Linked DNA regions of Neurospora crassa OR74A. The protein of the gene in region 5 interacts with the protein of the main gene of each other region in a biochemical or structural test. Links are inferred from orthologs where the notes say so. Each region holds a gene or a part of one and is shown on either strand. Other genes may lie near its edges. The genes, in order: NCU01992, NCU00493, NCU10066, NCU04404 and NCU06091.

What was found.
Region 1: the proteins of NCU06091 (region 5) and NCU01992 form a complex in vitro, tested with the Saccharomyces cerevisiae proteins (2 studies listed by BioGRID). The link is inferred for Neurospora crassa OR74A from reciprocal best matches to the Saccharomyces cerevisiae genes VPS74 and SEC21.
Region 2: the proteins of NCU06091 (region 5) and NCU00493 form a complex in vitro, tested with the Saccharomyces cerevisiae proteins (2 studies listed by BioGRID). The link is inferred for Neurospora crassa OR74A from reciprocal best matches to the Saccharomyces cerevisiae genes VPS74 and RET2.
Region 3: the proteins of NCU06091 (region 5) and NCU10066 form a complex in vitro, tested with the Saccharomyces cerevisiae proteins (2 studies listed by BioGRID). The link is inferred for Neurospora crassa OR74A from reciprocal best matches to the Saccharomyces cerevisiae genes VPS74 and COP1.
Region 4: the proteins of NCU06091 (region 5) and NCU04404 form a complex in vitro, tested with the Saccharomyces cerevisiae proteins (2 studies listed by BioGRID). The link is inferred for Neurospora crassa OR74A from reciprocal best matches to the Saccharomyces cerevisiae genes VPS74 and SEC26.

The regions. Positions count from the first base shown.
Region 1 is NC_026501.1:1,752,644-1,756,923, reverse strand, and holds the start of NCU01992 (coatomer subunit gamma), read left to right. Parts: upstream 1-1,474; 5' UTR 1,475-1,646; coding exon 1,647-1,722; intron 1,723-1,821; coding exon 1,822-2,132; intron 2,133-2,199; coding exon 2,200-3,514; intron 3,515-3,577; coding exon 3,578-4,280. Other genes in the region: NCU01991 (hypothetical protein), read left to right, coding at 1-278, 342-681. UniProt on the Saccharomyces cerevisiae protein: The coatomer is a cytosolic protein complex that binds to dilysine motifs and reversibly associates with Golgi non-clathrin-coated vesicles, which further mediate biosynthetic protein transport from the ER, via the Golgi up to the trans Golgi network.
Region 2 is NC_026503.1:4,047,226-4,051,523, reverse strand, and holds NCU00493 (coatomer subunit delta), read right to left. Parts: upstream 2,801-4,298; 5' UTR 2,521-2,800; coding exon 2,518-2,520; intron 2,462-2,517; coding exon 1,827-2,461; intron 1,772-1,826; coding exon 961-1,771; intron 899-960; coding exon 809-898; 3' UTR 449-808; downstream 1-448. Other genes in the region: NCU00494 (hypothetical protein), read right to left, coding at 1-16; NCU00492 (hypothetical protein), read left to right, coding at 3,849-4,298. UniProt on the Saccharomyces cerevisiae protein: The coatomer is a cytosolic protein complex that binds to dilysine motifs and reversibly associates with Golgi non-clathrin-coated vesicles, which further mediate biosynthetic protein transport from the ER, via the Golgi up to the trans Golgi network.
Region 3 is NC_026507.1:2,814,655-2,818,686, reverse strand, and holds the start of NCU10066 (coatomer alpha subunit), read left to right. Parts: upstream 1-1,225; 5' UTR 1,226-1,656; coding exon 1,657-1,686; intron 1,687-1,768; coding exon 1,769-1,818; intron 1,819-1,933; coding exon 1,934-2,060; intron 2,061-2,128; coding exon 2,129-2,429; intron 2,430-2,509; coding exon 2,510-2,748; intron 2,749-2,810; coding exon 2,811-4,032. Other genes in the region: NCU02349 (UDP-glucose:glycoprotein glucosyltransferase), read right to left, coding at 1-250, 310-458. UniProt on the Saccharomyces cerevisiae protein: The coatomer is a cytosolic protein complex that binds to dilysine motifs and reversibly associates with Golgi non-clathrin-coated vesicles, which further mediate biosynthetic protein transport from the ER, via the Golgi up to the trans Golgi network.
Region 4 is NC_026504.1:3,471,435-3,475,554, reverse strand, and holds the start of NCU04404 (coatomer beta subunit), read right to left. Parts: upstream 2,801-4,120; 5' UTR 2,363-2,800; coding exon 2,061-2,362; intron 1,996-2,060; coding exon 1-1,995. Other genes in the region: NCU04405 (mago nashi protein), read left to right, coding at 3,166-3,203, 3,271-3,308, 3,392-3,487, 3,547-3,610, 3,673-3,760, 3,823-3,963. UniProt on the Saccharomyces cerevisiae protein: The coatomer is a cytosolic protein complex that binds to dilysine motifs and reversibly associates with Golgi non-clathrin-coated vesicles, which further mediate biosynthetic protein transport from the ER, via the Golgi up to the trans Golgi network.
Region 5 is NC_026507.1:1,845,070-1,849,171, reverse strand, and holds the start of NCU06091 (vacuolar protein sorting-associated protein 74), read left to right. Parts: upstream 1-1,294; 5' UTR 1,295-2,042; coding exon 2,043-2,294; intron 2,295-2,505; coding exon 2,506-2,752; intron 2,753-2,851; coding exon 2,852-3,312; intron 3,313-3,443; coding exon 3,444-3,533; 3' UTR 3,534-4,102. Other genes in the region: NCU06090 (hypothetical protein), read left to right, coding at 1-491.

The DNA.
Region 1 (4,280 bases), on a different chromosome or scaffold from region 5:
TCACCGTCCTCAGGCACGAAGGCTGAGCCTGACCTCGACGCCGTGTCGCAACGCTCGAGAGAGCTCTCGGCAGCTAACCGGAAAGCCAGAGGACCACAGAGTCGGTCACCCTGGCTTCGCGATGACATCAGGATGTTGATCAAGGCAGTGGATACGTACAAGTGTAAATGGAGCGTCATCGAGAAGGAAATAAAGGAGGGGAAAATCCCTTTTGAGCGCCCTCGTGACCAGCAGGCTTTGCGAGACAAAGCTCGCTTGCTAAAGCAGGACTTCTTAAAGTGAGTGACTTGACGCCTTGCTTACTAAACCTTATCTGGCCGCTACTGACACGTCTGGTACAGGGCTGATGCTATTTTGCCTCCGTCCTTTGATCTCGTTGTGCTGGGCAAAAAAGAGAAAGAAGCTGTGAAGGCATGCGGCAAAAATCCCGACCGCAAGGAAGACGACGTCCGGAACGGGTTTCCCATCAATACTGATTATCACGCGCAAGAGCCGATGCAGGAGCAAGCAAGCGCCGCCGAAGCGGAGGACCAAGCGCAGGTGCAGGGCGAGGAACAACCGGACATGCAACTCGAAACACAGGCGGAGGTACAGACTGAGGCGCAACCCGAGGCCTCGGCAGTGGTCTCAGATGAGGTGCCTGTCGATGCAGAAGCGATAGAAGCTGCTTCCACATCATAGGGTCCATTTGTGTATCCGATCGCTGATGCTACGCAGGTGAGGGCCGTAGCAGGAGAGTGATATAAGAAGCTGTGCCTAAGAGTACGCCCCAAAAGAGAGCAAGCAAACATACTAGAAAACAAATCATGCTTTTATGAGCCAAAGCAAGGCTATATGTCCTTTTGGAGGAAGACGAAAAGGAAGAGATGGGTACAATGGATGCTCGGACCAACTGTATCCTTAAGTACAGGCTGGGACTACCGTTGAGGAGAACCAATTGACAGCAAGAAGGGCTCACGATAATGCAATTTGAGTAAAGTAGTCAGTATCAAGCTGTCATTCAAGCCGAAAGGGAAGGCGGCCACCTAGACCGAGTGTGGGATGTAAAGCTTGGCACTGAACAGGTCCAAGTAAAGTATCAATAGTTATCATGGTGATTACTACGTACTAGCAATCTTGGTTCTATTTTTCCTTCAGAAGCACAAGTGAGGTGACCTGGCAGGTTGAACAATGTCAAGTTTGTCTTCCAGGAACAACATCCCGTGTGATTATATTGAAAATAATTAAACTCGATGATCTACTCAGGAGGCGGGAGGGAAGCATCTATGTAGAGGTAACTAGGTATGTACATATTGGAAGGGTGGTCTGTGCGCTGTAACACCCGCTCCTTGAGGTTGACGATGCACATGGAGAAGCTTGCTCCTGCCGGGAGGCTTTCAGCCTCTAACTGGCGAGACTGGCAGCGTGGCCCGGGAGCACGGACTCCCTGACACCTCAGTGGACTCCCCCTCGACTGTGCAGTGGAATTGGCAACGTCGCGGGTTTGGGGATACCCGCTTGCTGGCCGCACCGTCGCACAGGCAACACGCTACTCCGTTATTTCGTACCTCTATTGTTCTAGCCTCGACTTACTTGCCTCAACAACAACAACTTGGGTTTCCCAAATCCACATCACACCTCCAGCACCCATCGTCGCCCTGCCCGCCATGAATTACGGCAAAAAGGACGAGGATGCTGAGACGGGTCTGGTCAAGGTCGACCGGACCCAGGTCTTCCAGGAGGGTGAGTCCGAGTACCTTGGCAGCTGAGGCATTGTTCGTCGGGTGGACGTGGCCCTTATACTCTCCTAACCTCCTCAAGACTGACCGGTTCGACATACAGCCCGCCTCTTCAACAACTCCCCCATTCAGCCGCGCAAATGTCGTATCCTCCTCACCAAGATTGCTCTCCTCCTCTACACCGGCGAAAGATTCCCGACAAACGAAGCCACGACGCTGTTTTTTGGTATTTCGAAGCTCTTCCAGAACAAAGATGCCAGCCTACGACAGATGGTCCACCTTGTCATCAAGGAGCTGGCCAACTCGGCCGAGGATATTATTATGGTTACCAGCACCATTATGAAGGATACTGGCGGTAGTACCGATGCCATCTACCGCCCGAATGCCATCCGCGCCCTTTGCCGCATCATCGATGTAAGCCTCCCCCTTCCTCGACCCCTTAATGGTTATCCGATGTGGAGCTAACCCCGACCTTGTGCAGGCCACCACAGTACAGTCCATCGAGCGTGTCATGAAGACGGCCATTGTCGACAGAAACCCCTCAGTATCCTCTGCCGCCCTCGTATCGTCATATCACCTTCTCCCCGTCGCCAAGGACGTCGTCAAACGGTGGCAGAATGAGACCTCGGAAGCGGCAGCTAACACCAAGTCTACCGGCGGTTTCTCCCTCGGTTTCGGATCTTCCAACAGAGATCTGCCCATCAACAGCTCGACTATGACCCAATACCATGCCATTGGCTTGCTTTATCAGATGCGCATGCACGACAGGATGGCGTTGGTGAAGATGGTCCAGCAGTTCGGTGCTCCCGGTGCCGTCAAGAACCCCGCTGCTCTCATGTTGCTCGTCCGTCTTGCCGCCCAGCTGGCCGACGAAGACCCACACCTTAGGAAGCCCATGATGCAGCTGCTGGATGGCTGGCTCAGGCACAAGAGCGAAATGGTCAACTTCGAGGCCGCAAAGGCGATTTGCGATATGCGGGATGTCACCGACGCTGAGGTCACCCAGGCAGTCCATGTCCTCCAACTTTTCCTTACCTCGCCCCGCGCTGTCACCAAGTTCGCCGCTCTTCGCATTCTCCACAACTTCGCTTCGTTCAAGCCGGCGGCCGTTGCTGTATGCAACCCGGACATTGAGCTCCTCATCTCCAACAGCAACCGCTCCATCGCTACTTTTGCCATTACTACCCTACTCAAGACCGGAAACGAGGCCAGCGTGGATCGTCTGATGAAGCAAATTTCTGGCTTCATGTCTGAAATCACCGATGAGTTCAAGATTACGATTGTCGAAGCCATCCGTACTCTATGCCTCAAGTTTCCCAGCAAGCAGGCCGGCATGCTCCAGTTCCTCAGTGGTATTTTGCGCGATGAGGGTGGCTATGAGTTTAAGCGCGCCGTGGTGGAGAGCATGTTCGATCTTATCAAGTTCGTCCCCGAATCTAAGGAGGAGGCTCTCGCTCACCTGTGCGAGTTTATTGAGGACTGCGAGTTCACCAAGTTGGCAGTCCGTGTCCTTCACCTCCTCGGTCTTGAGGGACCCAAGACATCCCAGCCTACCAAGTACATCCGATACATCTACAACCGGGTGGTTCTCGAGAACTCCATTGTGCGCGCCGCAGCGGTCACTGCCCTTGCCAAATTTGGTGTCGGCCAGAAAGATCCTGAAGTCAAGCGCAGCGTAGAGGTTCTCCTCACCAGGTGTCTGGATGATGTTGATGACGAGGTTCGCGATCGTGCTGCTCTCAACCTCAAGCTTATGAAGGAAGAGGATGAGCTTGCGAACAGGTTTGTCAAGAATGGTAAGTTCTCGTCTACTTTATGTTACGTTTGCCGGATGCGATCACATACTGACATGTCAACAGACAGCATGTTCTCGTTGCCCTTTTTCGAGCATCAGCTCGTCACGTATGTTACTTCTGATGACAGGTCGACATTCGAGGCGCCTTTCGACATCTCCAAGATCCCTGTTGTTACCCGCGAACAAGCAGATGCCGAGGATAGGACCAAGAAGCTTACTGCTACGACACCTTCACTCAAGCCACCCAAGGTCGGACCAACCAAGGCGGCTCCCACCAGCGCCGAGGCAGCCGCATCTGCCTCGGCAGCTGCGCAAAAATATGCGCAGGAGTTGATGCAGATTCCCGAGATGGCAGAATTTGGCGCCGTTCTCAAGTCGTCGCCGGTGGTAGAGTTGACCGAGGCGGAGACCGAATACGTCGTTGGAGTTGTCAAGCATATTTTCAAGGAGCATATTGTGCTCCAGTACGAGGTCAAGAACACCCTTCCCGACACCGTATTAGAGAACGTCTCTGTCGTAGCTACTCCCGCGGAAGAAGAGCTTGAAGAATTATTCATTATTCAGGCTGAGAAGCTCGAGACCGACGTTCCTGGAAAGGTATATGTGGCATTCAGAAAGGTCAGCGGTGAGGGTTCGCTACCAGTTAGCACCTTCTCCAACGTCCTCAAGTTCACCAGCAAGGAGATTGATCCCAGCACCGGTGAGCCTGAAGAAACCGGCTACGATGACGAGTACGAGGTTGCCGAGTTTGACCTGGCGGGAAGCGA
Region 2 (4,298 bases), on a different chromosome or scaffold from region 5:
GCCCATTTGGGGACATTTTGTAGGATCCGTTGGTGACTTTCAGTTGGATGATGTTATTTGGACGTGGAAAGCAGCGGCTAAGTGGTTCCAGCCTTCAACTCCGGGACGCAAGATTTTGATTTGAATGACACGCGCAAGTCCATAACTTGGCAAGTCGGTTTGTATGTTTGGGGGATTTCGGTTTTGGTTTGCTAGACCTACAGCTTCACTTGCCTCGGCGTGATGTTGTTGTTGTTGTTGCTGCTGTTCTGCGATTCAGTCGTGTGGTCTCGTCCTGCCTGTTGATTCAAAACACAGTGCAGATAGAGCAGTTGCCACAGTAATAGAAATACTGTGCAGGGGCATCCGTACTGTGTAGGTATGACCTTTACAAGCTTACCTAGCGAACTACACACATCGACATCAATTACCATACTCTGTGCTTACAACAGCGATGATTGAGTTGGATAGCTCTTTGCGTAGATAGGCTTCTTTCTATATGGTACTGGATCATGAGGGTATCCATCCCCTTAAAAATGCGTAGGGCTCGTAGCTTACATGTTACTTTCAAGGATCCCGGGAGCGTCAAAAACCTCTTGTTCAAAAAGTCAAGTATGACCTTGGGTATCAACGGAAGAAAAGGAATGACAGCTCGAGCACCCACTGGCGCGGACCATGTACAACAGTATTCATTATAAAGGGAGTTGGACAACTCGGTTGCTTCCCATACATTACTCTAATTCTGGTGTGGAAGATGATGATCGAGACGCCTGGCCGGCATGCTACGGTCGCCCTTTTTTGGTTCTGCTCAAAACAATGACAACAAACCCTACTCAATGAGGAACTTGTCGGCCACCGATCTGATGTCCTTGGAAAACGAAACCTCTTCACCTTCATCCACCAGCTCAACAGATTGAACCTAGAATGTGTCAGTTGTTCCGTCTTTACCCGTTTTTCTGACATGAGGGGGCGACATCTTACATCAACCTCCACGAACGGCCACGACTTGGAGAACCGTACTTGCATCGGGAAGAACTCGTTCTCGTCATCGGTCTGCGCCTCAAACTCGAATGATCCGCTGGCGTTCTCCTCGCTTACGGTGCCTATCGACCACTCTAGACTGTCACCAGACACCTCATACACAGCGTCGAAGCTAGACACCTGAGGCTCTGCGCTCGTGTAGGGGATGACGACAGTAACGTCCTTGAGGGTATCTCCGCCAGTGAGCTCGTACTCGACCGTCAATGTGCTGTTGCCATCCGAGCCCTTGTTGACCCAAACGGTGAAGCTGATTGGTAGTGCGCTGGTGTCGTCGACTCTGGGACTGGCCCGCCACCTTAGAACTCCGACAGAGTTGTTAAGGGGGAAACCCTTTGTGATTTGAGACAACTGGATAGCCTGGGAGCTATTGAAGACATTCTTATCGACGTTCGGGTGAGTGCGGAACTGGGCGCCGTGGGTGGGTGTGGCGCTGAGGTTGAGCTTGATCCTTGAAAGCGATGGGTCGGAGACGCGAAGCTGGAGGTCACCGCTGACCGAGAGGGATTCGAGGGCACCATCTCTCGACAGCTTGGCACTGATTGCCTCGTTGATAAGGACGTGAATAGCATCCCTGTCGAGTGTCGAAGAGACTCTGGAAGCAGCAGGCTCTGCGGCAGCTGCCGGCGCGGCTACCGGAACAAGGGGCGCTTCCTCGGCCTCGTGTCCAAGATCCCCCTTCACGCGCTCGAAAATATCCGTATTCTTGGACTTCTTGCCCAACTGCATACCTTTGCCCTTTGGCGCATTGAACCTAGAAGAATGTGAGCTTGCAGGCCAGCCTGAAAAGAAGAGGGACTAACACATACTTGACCTTGTTCTTCTCGGCTTCGTACGTATCATAGGACTCGGTGACAGCAGGTCGCACCGGCGGGGTGTATGTGGGATATACCGGCGTCCGGGGTACCGCGGACCGACCAGTTCTGGCCGACTCCTTGCGCTGCATCTCCAACTGCTTGGCTTTCCTCTTGCGCTCTTCGGTGGCCTCCAGCTCCTTGTTGCGGGCAATGATTTCCTGAATGCGCTCCTCGTGGCTTTCCATCTCGAGGAAGGTCTTGATCTGGCTGATGGTGAGGTTCTCCCGGTAACCGAGAGTCACCAGCTCATCGAAGGCGCTGAGCAGTTCGTAGGCATTTCGGAGGATTTCGCGCTCGTCAAGGCTCTTGCAGGTGCTGGTGACAACCTGGGCAAAAAGGTGGAGCGAGTCGATGTCCTGAAGGATGTTGGACTGCTTGTTGGTGATGAGGACCATGTACAGCTCGTCCAGGGGCTGGTAGACGAATCGGACATTGTCTTGCTCGACAATGGTGTGCTGAGTACCCGAGTCGGCGGCCTTGGGGAACGAGGCGAGGAGAGCTTCGATGCGGGAGCGCTTGATGTCGTTGAAGGCGCGGGCTAAGACGGCCTTGCCGCCGCGGGTGCAGATGGAGGCAGCGAGGACAACCTGACATGTTCCGTCAATCGCTTCTTCCCACCAGGAGACAGGGATGGATGAGTTACCATTTTGACAGCAGTAAACAACAACCACGACTACTGACTCGAAGGGCGCTTCGTGGTAGTGCAGGGAGCTTTGGGATGCGTTGGAGGTAAGTCGTGAGCTTCACCTCCTGAAAGTTGTCGTGGACGGGAAGGTTGATGTGGTCTTTCCGTTGCCGTGCTGAGGTGTGCTGTCGGTCAGGTCCAATTGAACTGAAGGTGCCATCTGGAGGGACCCAGCGGGCAGCGATAGGTAGAGGTACCTGGACGGCAGCTTCACTGCAGCGTCAGGGCAGTCGGGTTCAGGCGGGCCAGGGCAACCTACTGCGTACACGGTGGCAGCGTCCTGGCCGGCCGACGAGGGGCTGCCAGCTGGCAAAAGAAATCCAGGGGCACACCATAGATACAAGTACAGTAGGTAGGTACCTCTAGGCACCCACAGGGCCCGCTAAACTCCATGCGGCACTTGCTTAGGTTCAGTTTCCTTCCTATGATCAATTCTGCGAATTTCACCGTTGTCCACACACTGCGGCAAAACCAACAACTGCACCTCTTTCTTCAACACGCACAACAGACGGCCCCGTGTGTCGAAATTTCACGATTTCCATTTCCATCCAAACCATCGCCTACCTCGAAAAACCATCCGCCATCGAGAAACTTGTTTCTCAATCGCGTCAAAGCATTGCCCAGCCAATACGAGTCTCGATTACGGATCATCAAATACCTACGCTACCTTTGTGACACGCCTCGTCATCAAGAGCTTACTCGACTCCGTTGCACTTCACCCACCTCCCAGCTCCGCCGCTCCGTGAAAGTGAGGCATCCCGATTATCTGCCTGCCGCGTTTCAGCATTCCATACCTCGATTCGATGTGCACTTTTGCCCAGAACATCCGCCCCAGAACTCTTAACAGCGGTTAAATCGTGTTGTCGGATTCCGCCAGTCCACGTGTCGCCTCACATCCCTTCACCGTTTCATTTTGCGCCCCAGAAGCGCCGTTGTTTGTCGGGCGTTCTTTGTCGAGTGCGGGGTTGCCCATTCTCAGCCATAACTCCAGAACCCGTGGTCTCTATATGCCCTACGGCTTCGCTTCCAAGAAGAAGTCACAGCCTTTCAGTCCAAGACATCCACCGAAACCCATCGCCAAGCTTGGGGTTTTGACCAGTGCACCAATTTTCTACGTCTTCGCTTCTTTCATGACGCTTGCTGGACGTACAATTTCTTGACAACGGCAATACGTCGCACCTTCTTAGAAACTTCGTGGAAGTTTTGCGTCATTTTCCAAATTTTCGTTCTTGATCCAACTCACTCGTCTGTGGCGCGTGTTTTGATTGACCCGCCAACCGCCAATCATCATGGAGCAAGTTAGCTTCGACGTTCGTGCCGAGGCGGGGAAGGCGGTATTTGACGATGACTTGATGCTAGATGCCGGCATGCCAGCCGACGAGCTTGTCTTAGAACTCGACGACCTACATGACAAGGAAGATGAGTACCAGGCGATCGATCTTGATGCCCAACCCGCCACAGCGGATGTTGAATTTGCTGTCGATGACCTCGAGGCTCAGCATAATACCAACGATGAGCAAGCAGAGGCGGCAGGCGGCGTCGAGCAAGATGCTCAGGATGTCTCCATGGCATACAATGACGAGATAGGTTATGAAGAGGAGGAGGGCGTTGCAGAAGAGGCTGTTACTGAACACGAGCCCGAAGATACCACTATATCAAAAGCGCCGTCTGCAAATGACGAGAATCCAGATCTACGTGAATTGGAACAGGAAGCCCAGGACGTCCAGATTGATCTTGCT
Region 3 (4,032 bases), about 970 kb from region 5:
CACTACATATGGCTCAACAGCAGTGGTATAGTACTGATAATGAGCCTCGACACGGGGCGCAGCGGACCGCAACGAAAGAGCCAGCTTGAAGGTCGACAGCGCCTCAGCATTCACATGCCCATCTTCTTGAAGAACCTGGAGGAACTTTTCATAGAGCTCTTTGTCGGACTTGGCCTGGGCAAAGTCTCCCTTGGCAATGCGGTCCAGCAGTGGGAAGTAGGCAGTAGCATTTTCGGAAGCCGCGGTTTCGCTGGATTCGGATGTGAGAATGGTCCGGTGCGAGTGAAGGAGGAGGGCCAGGGAACTTACAGGAGCTCTACCAGATACGGAGGCGAAGGAAACGCGGCCTTGAGTGCGACGTCTACAGAGGGAGAAGCTGCAACGTGGTGCGAGGGAAGCCATGTCGCCGTGACAATGGCTGCCGCTAGACCCCACGGCAGCTGGGAGAGACGGATCATGGTTGTCTGGACCAGGAAGCAGGTTTATTTATGGTGACGCAGGGAGGTAATGCGGAGTTAGAAGATTGCTCGATGAGATGGCTGCCTGTTTTCAAAGCTCAATCATGAGTGGGATGAGAAAAGGTGCCACGTTGGATGTCACCAACGTGAAACGGCACAGCTCGAATGTGGTGGTGGTGGTGGTGTTGGTGTTGGTGTTGTAAATAGAGCTATACAAAACGGGACAAGTAAGAGGTCACCGGTTTACTCAAAAGCGTTCAAACAAAATAACAACCTCGGTAATCTGGCAAAGTCACCAGATACACATGGAGTGGTGAAATTGGGGATAGCTTCACAAACAAGTGGGCGCTGAGGTTCCTGCCGTGTGAACACCTCGCCCCGGCTGTTCAGTTGTACACTAGTGAAGCAACAGAGCTCGCCCAGTTCGGTCTAGCGTCTGAGGGAAGCTGTGTACAGGTGGCCGCCAGGGTTCATCCGTCTCACATGGGAGGTTGTGGCTGGTGCGACCCTTGACTTGCGGCCCCTTAAATGAGGCTTACGCATGCCGTAGCCCCTGAATTGCGGATCCTCTGTGTGTTTATGGCGTGGCGGTGCACGACTAGGTGGAATCGATGAGTGCCGCTGCCCGCTGAGGCCACGCCAGTCGTGTCTGCAAGGCCCCAACTGCAGTGGACAGACAGGTGCTGTGCGAGTGGCAGCTGCAGCGCCCGCCAGCACTGAATGGGGAGGTGAGGTCGGTGCGATGGAGATGCCACGCTTCCCTACCACACAGGTAAGGGTAGTATGGATCCTAACAAGTGGAATTGAAGCCGCCGCCCGAGACCGTCCTGTCCACTCCAGCACCTCAGCTCCGTTAGTTGATTGTGAGTGCCTGGCATCCATCGCGGACCTTGTTTCGAACGACTGGTCCTACACTGAGCACTCAGCTTGTACCCGACACTCAGTCTACCTCGACACTTCCTTTCCACTTTGGCTCCGTTCATTCCCCAAACCACCACGCCGCCGCCGCCACCACCACCCCTCCTCCTCCTCCCACCCTCCGAACGGCAATCCCCATCTCCCATAGTATTTTGCGACTTCACGGCGTCTCGGCTGATCGCGTCCTAATTCCCCCCGTCTCCCACTTAAATACTTAATCCACCTTTCCCACGTTGATGCCGGGAGCTTAGGCTGTGCTCCCCTTAAAGCCACTGGCAAGATGCAGGCCTCCTCGGGAATGCTCACCAAAGTACGTTGCTTGTCGTCCACTCTCCATGTGCCTTCTCCCCAGCTCGAGCGTGTCTAACATCTTACCTTACCCCTGTGCGCAGTTCGAGTCCAAGTCGTCGCGAGCAAAGGGCATCGCCTTCCACCCCAAACGGTCAGCCTCTCCGTCCCCACGAAAGAGCAGAAGCTCCCCCGTCACTTGACCTGGGTCTTGATGTCTACGCCTGTCAAGAAAACCAAACGCGAAACTAACATGGCCTTGCCTCCAGACCATGGATTCTCGTCTCCCTCCACTCCTCCACCATTCAGCTATGGGACTACCGCATGGGTACCCTGATTGACCGATTCGAAGAGCACGATGGCCCCGTCCGCGGCGTTGATTTCCACAAGACACAGGTGAGCTCCCTGTTCCCTCGATGCGCCGAACCCGAGTTATCGACAGCTAGCTTACACATCCGTTACAGCCCCTCTTCGTATCTGGCGGTGACGACTACAAGATCAAGGTCTGGTCTCTCCAGACTCGGCGCTGCCTCTTTACACTCAACGGCCACTTGGACTACATCCGCACCGTCTTCTTCCACCACGAGCTTCCTTGGATTGTCAGTGCTAGTGACGACCAGACGATTCGGATATGGAACTGGCAGAACCGCTCCCTGCTCTGCACCATGACGGGCCACAACCACTACGTCATGTGCGCCCAGTTCCATCCCAAGGAGGACCTCATCGTTTCCGCCTCCCTCGACCAGACTGTTCGCGTTTGGGATAGTACGTGGTGCCTTAGCTGGGAAAGATGGCATGGATATCTGCGGAATACATGGATGGCTGACCATTTTGTCTTGTCACAGTCTCGGGCCTCCGCAAGAAGCACTCCGCGCCCACGTCCATGTCCTTCGAGGACCAAGTTGCTCGCGCCAATGCCAACCAGACCGACATGTTCGGCAATACCGACGCCGTTGTCAAGTTCGTTCTCGAGGGCCACGACCGCGGTGTGAACTGGGTTGCCTTCCACCCCACCATGCCCTTGATCGTGTCCGCCGGTGATGACCGCCTTATCAAGCTGTGGCGCATGAGCGAGACCAAGGCTGTACGTGTTGTGAGGATTTGTGCATCTGATGACAACTTGCTGACTGAACCAACCATCCATAGTGGGAAGTCGATACCTGCCGCGGCCATTTCCAGAACGCCAGCGGCTGTCTTTTCCACCCCCACCAGGACCTTATCCTTTCGGCCGGCGAGGACAAGACGATTCGCGTATGGGATCTTAACAAGCGTACCGTAGTCAACACCTTTAAGCGGGAGAACGATAGGATCTGGGTCATCGCTGCTCATCCGGAAATCAACTTGTTCGCTGCTGGTCACGACAATGGTGTTATGGTGTTCAAGCTCGAGCGCGAGAGGCCCGCTTCCGCCGTTTATCAGAACAACATCTTCTACATCACCAAGGAGAAGCACGTCAAGATGTACGACTTCCAGAAGAATGTCGAATCGCCCACGCTTTTGTCGCTCAAGAAGCTCGGAAGCCCTTGGGTGCCCCCAAGGACGCTCTCCTACAACCCCGCGGAGAGGTCAATCTTGGTCACTTCCCCGGCGGATGGTGGGTCGTACGAGCTCATCACCCTTCCTCGCGATGGTTCTGGAGCTATCGAACCCACAGAATCCAAGCGGGGCCAGGGCAACTCCGCTGTCTTTGTGGCTCGCAACCGTTTCGCTGTTCTTAACACTGCCACCCAGACCGTCGATATCAAGGACTTGACCAACAACACCACGAGATCGTTCAAGCCCCCTGTTGGCACTACCGACATCTACTTCGGCGGCACCGGCAACCTCCTCATCATTACTCCGACCGCTGTTCACCTCTACGATATCCAGCAGAGAAAGAGCACTGCCGAGCTGGCTGTAACTGGCGTCAAATACGTTGTCTGGTCTAACGATGGTCTTTACGCCGCTCTGCTCAGCAAGCACAATGTGACAATTGTGACCAAGACCCTGGAGCAGGTTAGCACTCTACATGAGACTATCCGTCTCAAGAGTGCTGCGTGGGATGACGCCGGTGTTCTGCTCTACTCGACTCTCAACCACGTCAAGTACACGCTTCTTAATGGCGATAACGGCATCGTTTGCACCCTCGACCAGACTGTTTACCTCACCCGTGTCAAGGGTAGAAACGTGTACTGCCTTGATCGTGCTGCGAAGCCCAAGATTTTGCAGATTGACCCCACCGAGTACCGCTTCAAGCTTGCGCTTGTCAAGCGTAACTACGAGGAAATGCTACACATCATCCAGAACTCGAGCTTGGTTGGCCAGTCAATCATTGCTTACCTTCAGAAGAAGGGCTACCCTGAGATTGCGCTCCAGTTCGTCCAGGATC
Region 4 (4,120 bases), on a different chromosome or scaffold from region 5:
ACGGTAAGGTTCTGGAGGGTCTCAGTTGTTTGGTTGACGAGTAGTACGTCTAGTACAATGTCGAACTGGTGGACCTTGACATAGGCCTCAGCATAAACAGGGTCGGAGAAACCGGTGAGCTGGACAACGCGGCTAAGCTTGCCAGATAGGTCCTCAGCCGAGCTGTTGTCTCCACCAGTGGCACGCTCGAGATCGGCATCGAAAGCATCAGCCCCATCAGTGGCATTCTTCTTGGAAAGCTGGCGGATTTGATAAACATCGTCCACCTGGGTGGCCGTCTTTGCCTTTTGGTGGGCCTCTTTTGCTGCGCGCTTCTTCTCCTCAACCTGGACCATCGCCCTGAACGCCTTCCTGGTATCCTCGAGATAAACGGTCTCCAACTCCTTGTGCGCGGTGAACTCGGCAAGGGAGCGCACACAGCTCATGATACGATCCACCGAATCTTCATCAATAGGGGCCTTGACGAACTGCGACTGACCAACACGAATGACGGAGATCATGATGAGCATAGCCTCAGCGCGGAGGGCGTTCGTGCGAGCCTCTTCCGAGGAGATCTCGGCATGACGCATGACAAGCTTGGTAAGGGTCGATGCGAGAACAGTGGCAAGGTAGTAATCGCCGTCAAGGATAAGTTGCCTGAGAGGGGGCTTCGACGAAGCCTTGACAGCCTCCAGGCGTGCAGCAGCTGTAGACTGGCTGGTAAGGGCAGTCTCGGTAGCGTATGTGCCGTCAGCAAGGACCTTGCGTGAGCCAGTCGGCGCTGCCCTTGAGCCATTGACCTGCTCCTTCTCCTTCTCCTCGGCATCACCATCAACATTATCCAGCAACCGTTGCTCGGATGCCAAGATCGGGATCTCACCCAGGCTTGCCCGAATTCTCTTCCATGCGTCCCTGATATCCTTCTCCTCAAGCGAGTACTCGCCGATAATCCAGAGAATACCGCGGTAGATCTTACCAGCGCGGACTTCACTCAGGGTATCTACCAGTCTCGCAATGATTGCTGGCCTGAGCTGAGGGAACTTCTCGACGACCTCCTTGACAAAGTTAATAACATCAACGGCGGAGTTGTTGTTGAAATCGGCAATAAAGTCCATGAGCAAGCCGACGACGCTAGCGGCGACTTCGGAGAACTTGATAGCGCATTGATGGATGGAGTGGATAAGAAGCTGGCGGTACTCGTTGTTCTTCTCGTACTCCTGGTCAACCGTCTTGGACAGCTCCTTCTTGAGCAAAAGCACGACTTCCTCCACGTTCTTGCTGGAGACCATCTCCAAAGCGATCTCGAGACCCTTCCTCCGCACATCGATATCCGTGCTAGAGAGAACGCGCAACACCTCCATGGTCAGGTCGTCCAGGACGCCGGGGTTCTTTTGGCGGAGTTGATCGACACGGTCCAGAACGATAAGCTTGACATTGTTATCCGCCTCCTTGATCGCAAGCTCAATGAACTTGCTGGCAGCAGCCTTGACAGCGACAGGGTTGTTGGTGAGGGCCGTCAACGACGAGGCCGCTTCGTAGATAACGGTCGAGGCACTAGCTTCCAAAAGGTCAAAAATAAGACGGAGGTAGCGCGCCTTGTTCTGGGTGTTGACAACAGCATCTTTCCTGATGAACTCCAACTCGGCCAACTGCAAAAGCTCATCTGCGTTGGGAATACCGTCAAAGACGGTGCTGAGATAGAGAAGAGCCTTGTCGTGGTCGATGCTGGCAAGGGCGGCGAAGCCATTCCGCTTGCAGGTTGGGTCGCTTTCGCCTTCGAGGAACGTGGAGATCAAGTCCGCAGCATCGGGAATAAGCGACGGGGAGTGCTGGTAAATGGAAGCGACAGCAAAGACGGCGTTCTTTCGGACATAGGCATGGCGATGTTCGAGACAGCCCCGGGCTGAGGAGAGCAAAGGCTCGAGAAGTTCGGCCTCCCGCAGCTTGCACAGGAAGCGCAGCGTGTTGCCTCGGATGTACTCGTTCGGGTGTTGCAAGTCGTTTCGGATGCCGTTACTGCGAGGCAATGGCTGGTCAGCTTGGAGGGGCCAGCATGCCCAGACGGACACGGAATGCCTTACCATACTAGGATGAACTCCTGCTTGAGCTTCCCTTGGGCATCAAGCTTGGGGCAGATCTCATAGTAGAAGTATAGAAGCTTCTTCAGGGGCTTGGATTTAGAAGGCATTACGAATCGGATAATGTGCATGAGCAATTGGGGCATGGGATCGCCATTGAGCATGATGGTAAGAATGCGCTTCATGGTCTCGATCTTGGTCTCGTCGGTGCCCTTTTCGAGCTGCGTCTTGAGCTCCTGCACGGTTGGGGTGCCGTCGACGGCATTGTCCTTGACCAAGCTGTAGGCATTTTCGAGGAACGACATGTTGGAGAGCTGGCGGCGGCCGGGCCGTCTTTGATTAAAGTTGAGATTGAATTTGGTAGAAAGTAGCTGGCCGGGCGTCCTGAAGAGGAGTCGCGGATCGAAATTAGAGAGGGGCGGGTGTGGTAAGGTGTTGTTTGCCCCGTTGTAGGTTGCGTGGTGCTAGTAAATGGATGGACTGAGTGGCTGCCTCGAGCTCCTGAAGAGTGACGATGAGCTGGCCTTGGTGCTGGATGTGGTTTCCTCCCCCTGGACTGACAGGGTCGTGGTTGGCCGAAAATCAAGAGACGGCTGCGCAATGAAAGGGTTGTCTGGAGTGCGCCGGCGAGGTGAGAGAGCGGAGCATCACCTGTGCTTGTTGTTGAAGTCTGGAAGAGCCAGCGTGGATAGGACGGTCAATTCTATCGAGAGACGGCCCCTGGGAGATGTGGCATTCTGGCCGGCCGCAACAGCACACGGCGAAGCACGGACCCCCCGACACCCTTACGGCCTCACCAAGCCTCCATCTCCTGGCCGAGTCTGCCATCTGCCAGCTTGTCCAAACAGTCGAAGGATCACGTGTAGATACGGATTGCCAGCTGTCAGGAAGGCTCGTGAACCCGGAGTCAGCTTGGAGCCCAAACAATGCCCCTGGGCCAAGCTGGGGTCAAGTGTGGGGCCGTGTGCCCCGCCAATGTCACTGGAGCGTGGCCGCGCGGGCGCGACTTTCAAGGTTGTCCATCCAAAAGCGACAGGAACCAAGCCGCTGGCTGCATCTCTGCCTCTTGTCTTGCAAAGCCTACTACTGACAGAAGCAACAAACAGCCATGTCAGCCGCCAACGAACCCTTCTATCTGCGCTACTAGTATGTACACCCCTACGGGATTCGATTCACTCACACATTGAAAACACCATGCTAACAGCCGGCTTAGCTCTGGCCACTCGGGCCGCTTCGGCCACGAGTTCCTAGGTGTGTTCAGCCATTTGCGCCTCGAGACGCAAGCTCCCACGTTTCCACGACCACGATGCTAAACTACCGCCCTTTGACTACAGAGTTCGACTTTCGCGTCCTCGGCGACGGACGTAGCGCCACTGCCCGATATGCCAACAACTCCAACTACCGTAACGACAGTCTGATCAGGAAAGAGAGTAGGAAACACTGTTTAGCCGGCCGTGGACATCCATATACTGACGAGGGTCTCTTTTAGTGTGCGTCAGCTCTCTGGTCATTGACGAGATCAAGCGCATCATCAAGGACAGCGAGATTATGAAGTACGACATCATGTTCACCCTTTTATACAAACAACATGGAGCGGCTGCTGACAGGCCAACAGGGAAGACGACGAGAAATGGCCGACCAAAAACAAAGACGGAAAGCAGGAGTTGGAGATCCGCCTCGGGAACGACCACATTTCATTCGAGGTGCGTCTTGCCAGTGTCGGAATCTATTTCTGCAAAATGTTCAGAGCTAATACAGGAAATAGACTGCCAAGATCGGATCGATCAACGATGTTACGGACTCGGCCGACCCAGAAGGCTTGCGCGTCTTCTACTACCTCGTTCAGGACCTCAAGGCGCTGGTGTTCAGTCTCATTGCCTTGCACTTCAAGATCAAGCCCATTTAATCTTCCGACACGAACGAATACCCCGAGTTTGATATATCCTTACTCATGGAAAGGAGAGATTTTGTGGGATAATGCGGCGTTTTATAAAGGCGTTCTTTTCTATCTATTGGCGGCGCAGATGGGTTTCTTGAAACTGGATTTAACATGGATAACTTCG
Region 5 (4,102 bases):
CTGATGGTGTTCAGCTTTCTCGTGACGCCGCCTTTGTCAAGTCCGACGGAACCAAGAAGAAGGGCCCCACGGACGCCAAGTCCAAGCTTGCCAAGCTTGAGGCGCAGAAGAAGCGCCTCGAGGCCTTGCCTGAAGATAAGCGCAAGGAAGTCCTTGAGAAGGAGACGTGGCTCGCTGCTCGCAAGCGTGCCGAGGGCGAGAAGGTTCACGACGACGAGCACCTGCTCAAGAAGGCTGTCAAGCGCAAGGAGAAGGCAAAGAGCAAGAGCGCCAATGAGTGGAGAGAGCGCAAGGAGGGCGTCGCCAAGGCCCAGTACGATAGGTCAAAGAAGCGCGAGGAGAACATCAAGAAGAAGCAGGACGAGAAGAAGGCCCGCAAGATGGGCATCAAGGTCAAGAGCGGCAAGGGCGGTAAGGGTGGAGGAAAAGGTGCTTCCAAGGGTAAGAGCAGGCCTGGATTCGAGGGCGGATTCGGTGGTAAGAAGAAATAAGCGTCGGATAAGGTGTTCAGCAAGGGGTGTTTTGTCTTTTTGGAGAGAGATGTTGATACCACTGCTGCTGCATAGCGGCAGATGCTCGGGAGGCTGGCATATCCTTTTCCCATTCTTCTGCCTTGTCGCTACGTACATATTTCTTGCTGGAAGGGGGTAACAGGTGGTGTTTTTGGCGTTTGTTTTTTTTCCTCATGGTTTTTCGTTTCTTTTTTCTTTGCACGGTCGGAATGGAAAAAGAGATTATATCACACGTACATATCACAACTGGACCAGATCACGACAAGCGGTTAACATGGTACGAGGCTGGGCAAGCCTTGTCTTTTGTTCTTTTATACTTAGCTAGCTTTTAGTAGTGGTGGCGAAGGGAGGAGGTAGGGGCTGGAGGTCCCCCTTCTTCTTCAGCGAGGCAGCATCTTCAGGGAGTTAAAAAGTGATTATCAGCTCACCGAGTCTTTTCTCTTTTTTTGTCCGGTGACTTGAATTGGTGATGTGAGACGCATAGCTTCCCTTTCTTGCTTGTCTGATACCGAGGCGCTCTCCGGTGTAGGCGTTAAATTCCAGCTGTGAAATGAGGTGCTGTTAGTGCTGGGTGGTCGGACTCTACTTTATTCGCAATCAAAGCACTAACACGGCGCCTGGAAGCCGACATAATTCTAGGTGATGCTACACGATTTTATCATGATCGGAGCAACCCGTGTTCCGTTCCACAAGGGAAGCTTGGAAGGGGTTAATGACTTCATCCCTCGGTAGCATTGAACAAAGAAACAGCCGTTTCAAAACGTGGCCATTCAGAATATACAGGAAACACATAACCTAGCCATCTCCAACTGCACCCAAGTTTAAGGTTTGATACTTAGAACCCCTTTGCGCCGCAGGTGAACTGGACCCTGAGATTGGCTCTTGACCCGATTAGACTCCATCCGCCGCGCGGACCAGGACGGGATCCCACCTCTGGACTTTCTCTTTCTTTGACCGCTGCACAAAACAGCGTCCGGCACTGCTGCGCGCTGCCTGTGCCAACCAAAAGAGGGACCCGTCGAGCACCGACCCGTTACCTACGTACCTCTACATACCCGAGTCCACCACTCAGCCTCAACCAAACCTAACCATCCCCCCCCCCGTCGGTCCTGCTAGAGGTAGCCAAGAGAACACCAACAGACTAGCGAAACGACAAACACTCGCATCATCAAGAGCCGCGCCGAAGAGCGGCTTCCCACCACCCCCCAGACGACGACGACAACGAAGGACGGACCTCCACGTTCGGGACAATTGATCGACCAGGCTACTACCTCTACTAGTCGGCCTTACCCTTTCCTCTGAAACACAGGCTACACCCAGGCCTACCGAATCCCCAATCCGCAATCCTAATCCCCACGTGTTACCGCGAAACCGAAATTATTTCAATTCCCCCTGTCCGCGAAAACACGGGGAAATAATACCAGTGCACATACGCCCAAACTCGGCCGACCACATTCGCTTCGTGCCGCCCAATCATCACATCAGAAACAGTCCCCGATAAAGAAAAAAAAAACGAAGAAGAAGAAGAAGATGGCATCAACATCAGGCTTGACCCGGCGCAGGGGCGCGGGAGGAGGCAGCAGCGACGTCGGCGGCGGCGGCGGCGGCGGCGGCGCTTCCGACACGAGGGACGTTGGGCCCGACACGAGCTACGAGACGGGCGAGAACGGACACAGGATTGCCTTCGATCCCCGCGACCTGAGCGAGAGCGCAGAGAGGAGCAAGCAACCCAAGCTAACGCTGATGGAGGAGGTCTTATTGCTTGGCATCAAGGATCGCGAGGTTTGTCTCCACGTCTCTCTTTCTCTCAGTCTCGCTCGCTACACTATCCCTTTGTATGTTGTAGGGGCCTACCAAAGGGCTATCTTCTGACTATGGCTGGACTCGATATTGACGTTCGCCACGTGCTGCTCCTTGGACTGTTTTCATGATTCGGAATTCGGAACCTGGGCACGACGAGAGACGACATGGCTAACAAGACAACCCCCATCAGGGCTACCTTTCGTTCTGGAACGACAACATCTCCTATGCTCTTCGTGGATGCATTGTTCTCGAGCTGGCCTTCCGCGGCCGCATCAGTATGCAAAAAGACTCTTCCCGGCGGCGCTTCCCCCTGGCGGACCGAATCATCGAAGTCATTGACGACACTCTAACGGGCGAGGTGTTGCTGGACGAGGCCCTGAAGATGATGAAGACGAGCGAGAAGATGAGCGTCAGCTCCTGGATTGACTTGATGAGCGGTACGTGTTTGCGTCACTGCCCCATCTCCATTCCCCCCATGTCTATCGTGCACACCCAAGCGGAAGCAAACGTGCTGACATGACCTGTTAATACCACAGGCGAAACCTGGAACCTCATGAAAATCGGCTACCAACTGAAACAAGTCCGCGAGCGGCTCGCAAAGGGTCTGGTCGACAAGGGCATCCTGCGCACGGAAAAGCGCAATTTCCTACTGTTCGACATGGCCACACACCCCGTCGTCGAGGGCGCCGCCAAGGAGGACATCCGACGGCGTGTGCGCAACGTGCTGACGCAGCGCACCGTCGTGCTCACCCCGACCCAGTACCTGCCCGAGGACCTCGAGTTCCGGTACGTGCGGACAATCGCCATGGTGTGCGCGGCGCACGCAGCCAACGTGCTCGAGAACGCGCTGAGTACCCTCGGCCACGAGGCGAGGGAAAACGCCTTTTCCATGGCGGACGAGCTGTTGCTGCAGTACAGCCAGTGGCCGTTTGCGGCGAGGCCGTTGCCTGGTGGGAATGGTGGTGTGGGGGCGAACTTGCCGCAAGTTATTAATGAGGTACGTTTGTATGATTTCTTATCCAAGAGGTTCTGTTGGAAGAGGGAGAAAAAAGAACCCCTCCAAAAAAAAAAACCGAGCGGACTGTTCAAGCGAGAATTTTAGTTAACATATGCTCACCAAACAAACAGGAGGTCAACAAAGCAAAGGACAAGGAACTCCAGCTCGAAGTCGTGGCGGCTTGCTTGAGCGTATTCACTCGCCTTGACTCCCTGCTCTAAATGGCGCACGGCGGGAATTGTGAGAAAGCAAACAGCCCAGCCATTGAGGACAAGCGTGGGAGACACCCCGAAAAGCGAGAATGATGATGATGTGTTGTGCTGAGTGAGTGAAAGTCGGGGGAAGGAAGCCTTTTCACGATTACACTACGAACAAGGGGTGGTGGGTGGGCGCTGGGTCTTCGAGCGAGCGAGCGGGCAAGGGGTCAGTCAAGGCCGGCCTTCCTGATCCAACAACACGGAGGACGCAGCGCATTTTACCTGATTCACTCTATCACACCAGCGAAGCAACCGCGCAGAAGGGCCTACTATTTTACTTAATATCTTCACCTCGTCTCCTTGTATGGTAGGGTAGGTATGATGATGAACATTTTTTTTAATTTCCCTCTTTTGGTCTCCCACTTACTACTCTCTTCGAGGTCGAATAGGAGGAGGACGGGTTGGAGATGGTAAGAGGCTTGGGTTTTACTTGGAGGATATGAGAGGATTGGTGTGGATAGGTGGGCAGATACCGATGGACAATGAGGCGAAGCGAAGATGCGAAAATCAAAAAAGAACGGAAAAAAGAAAAA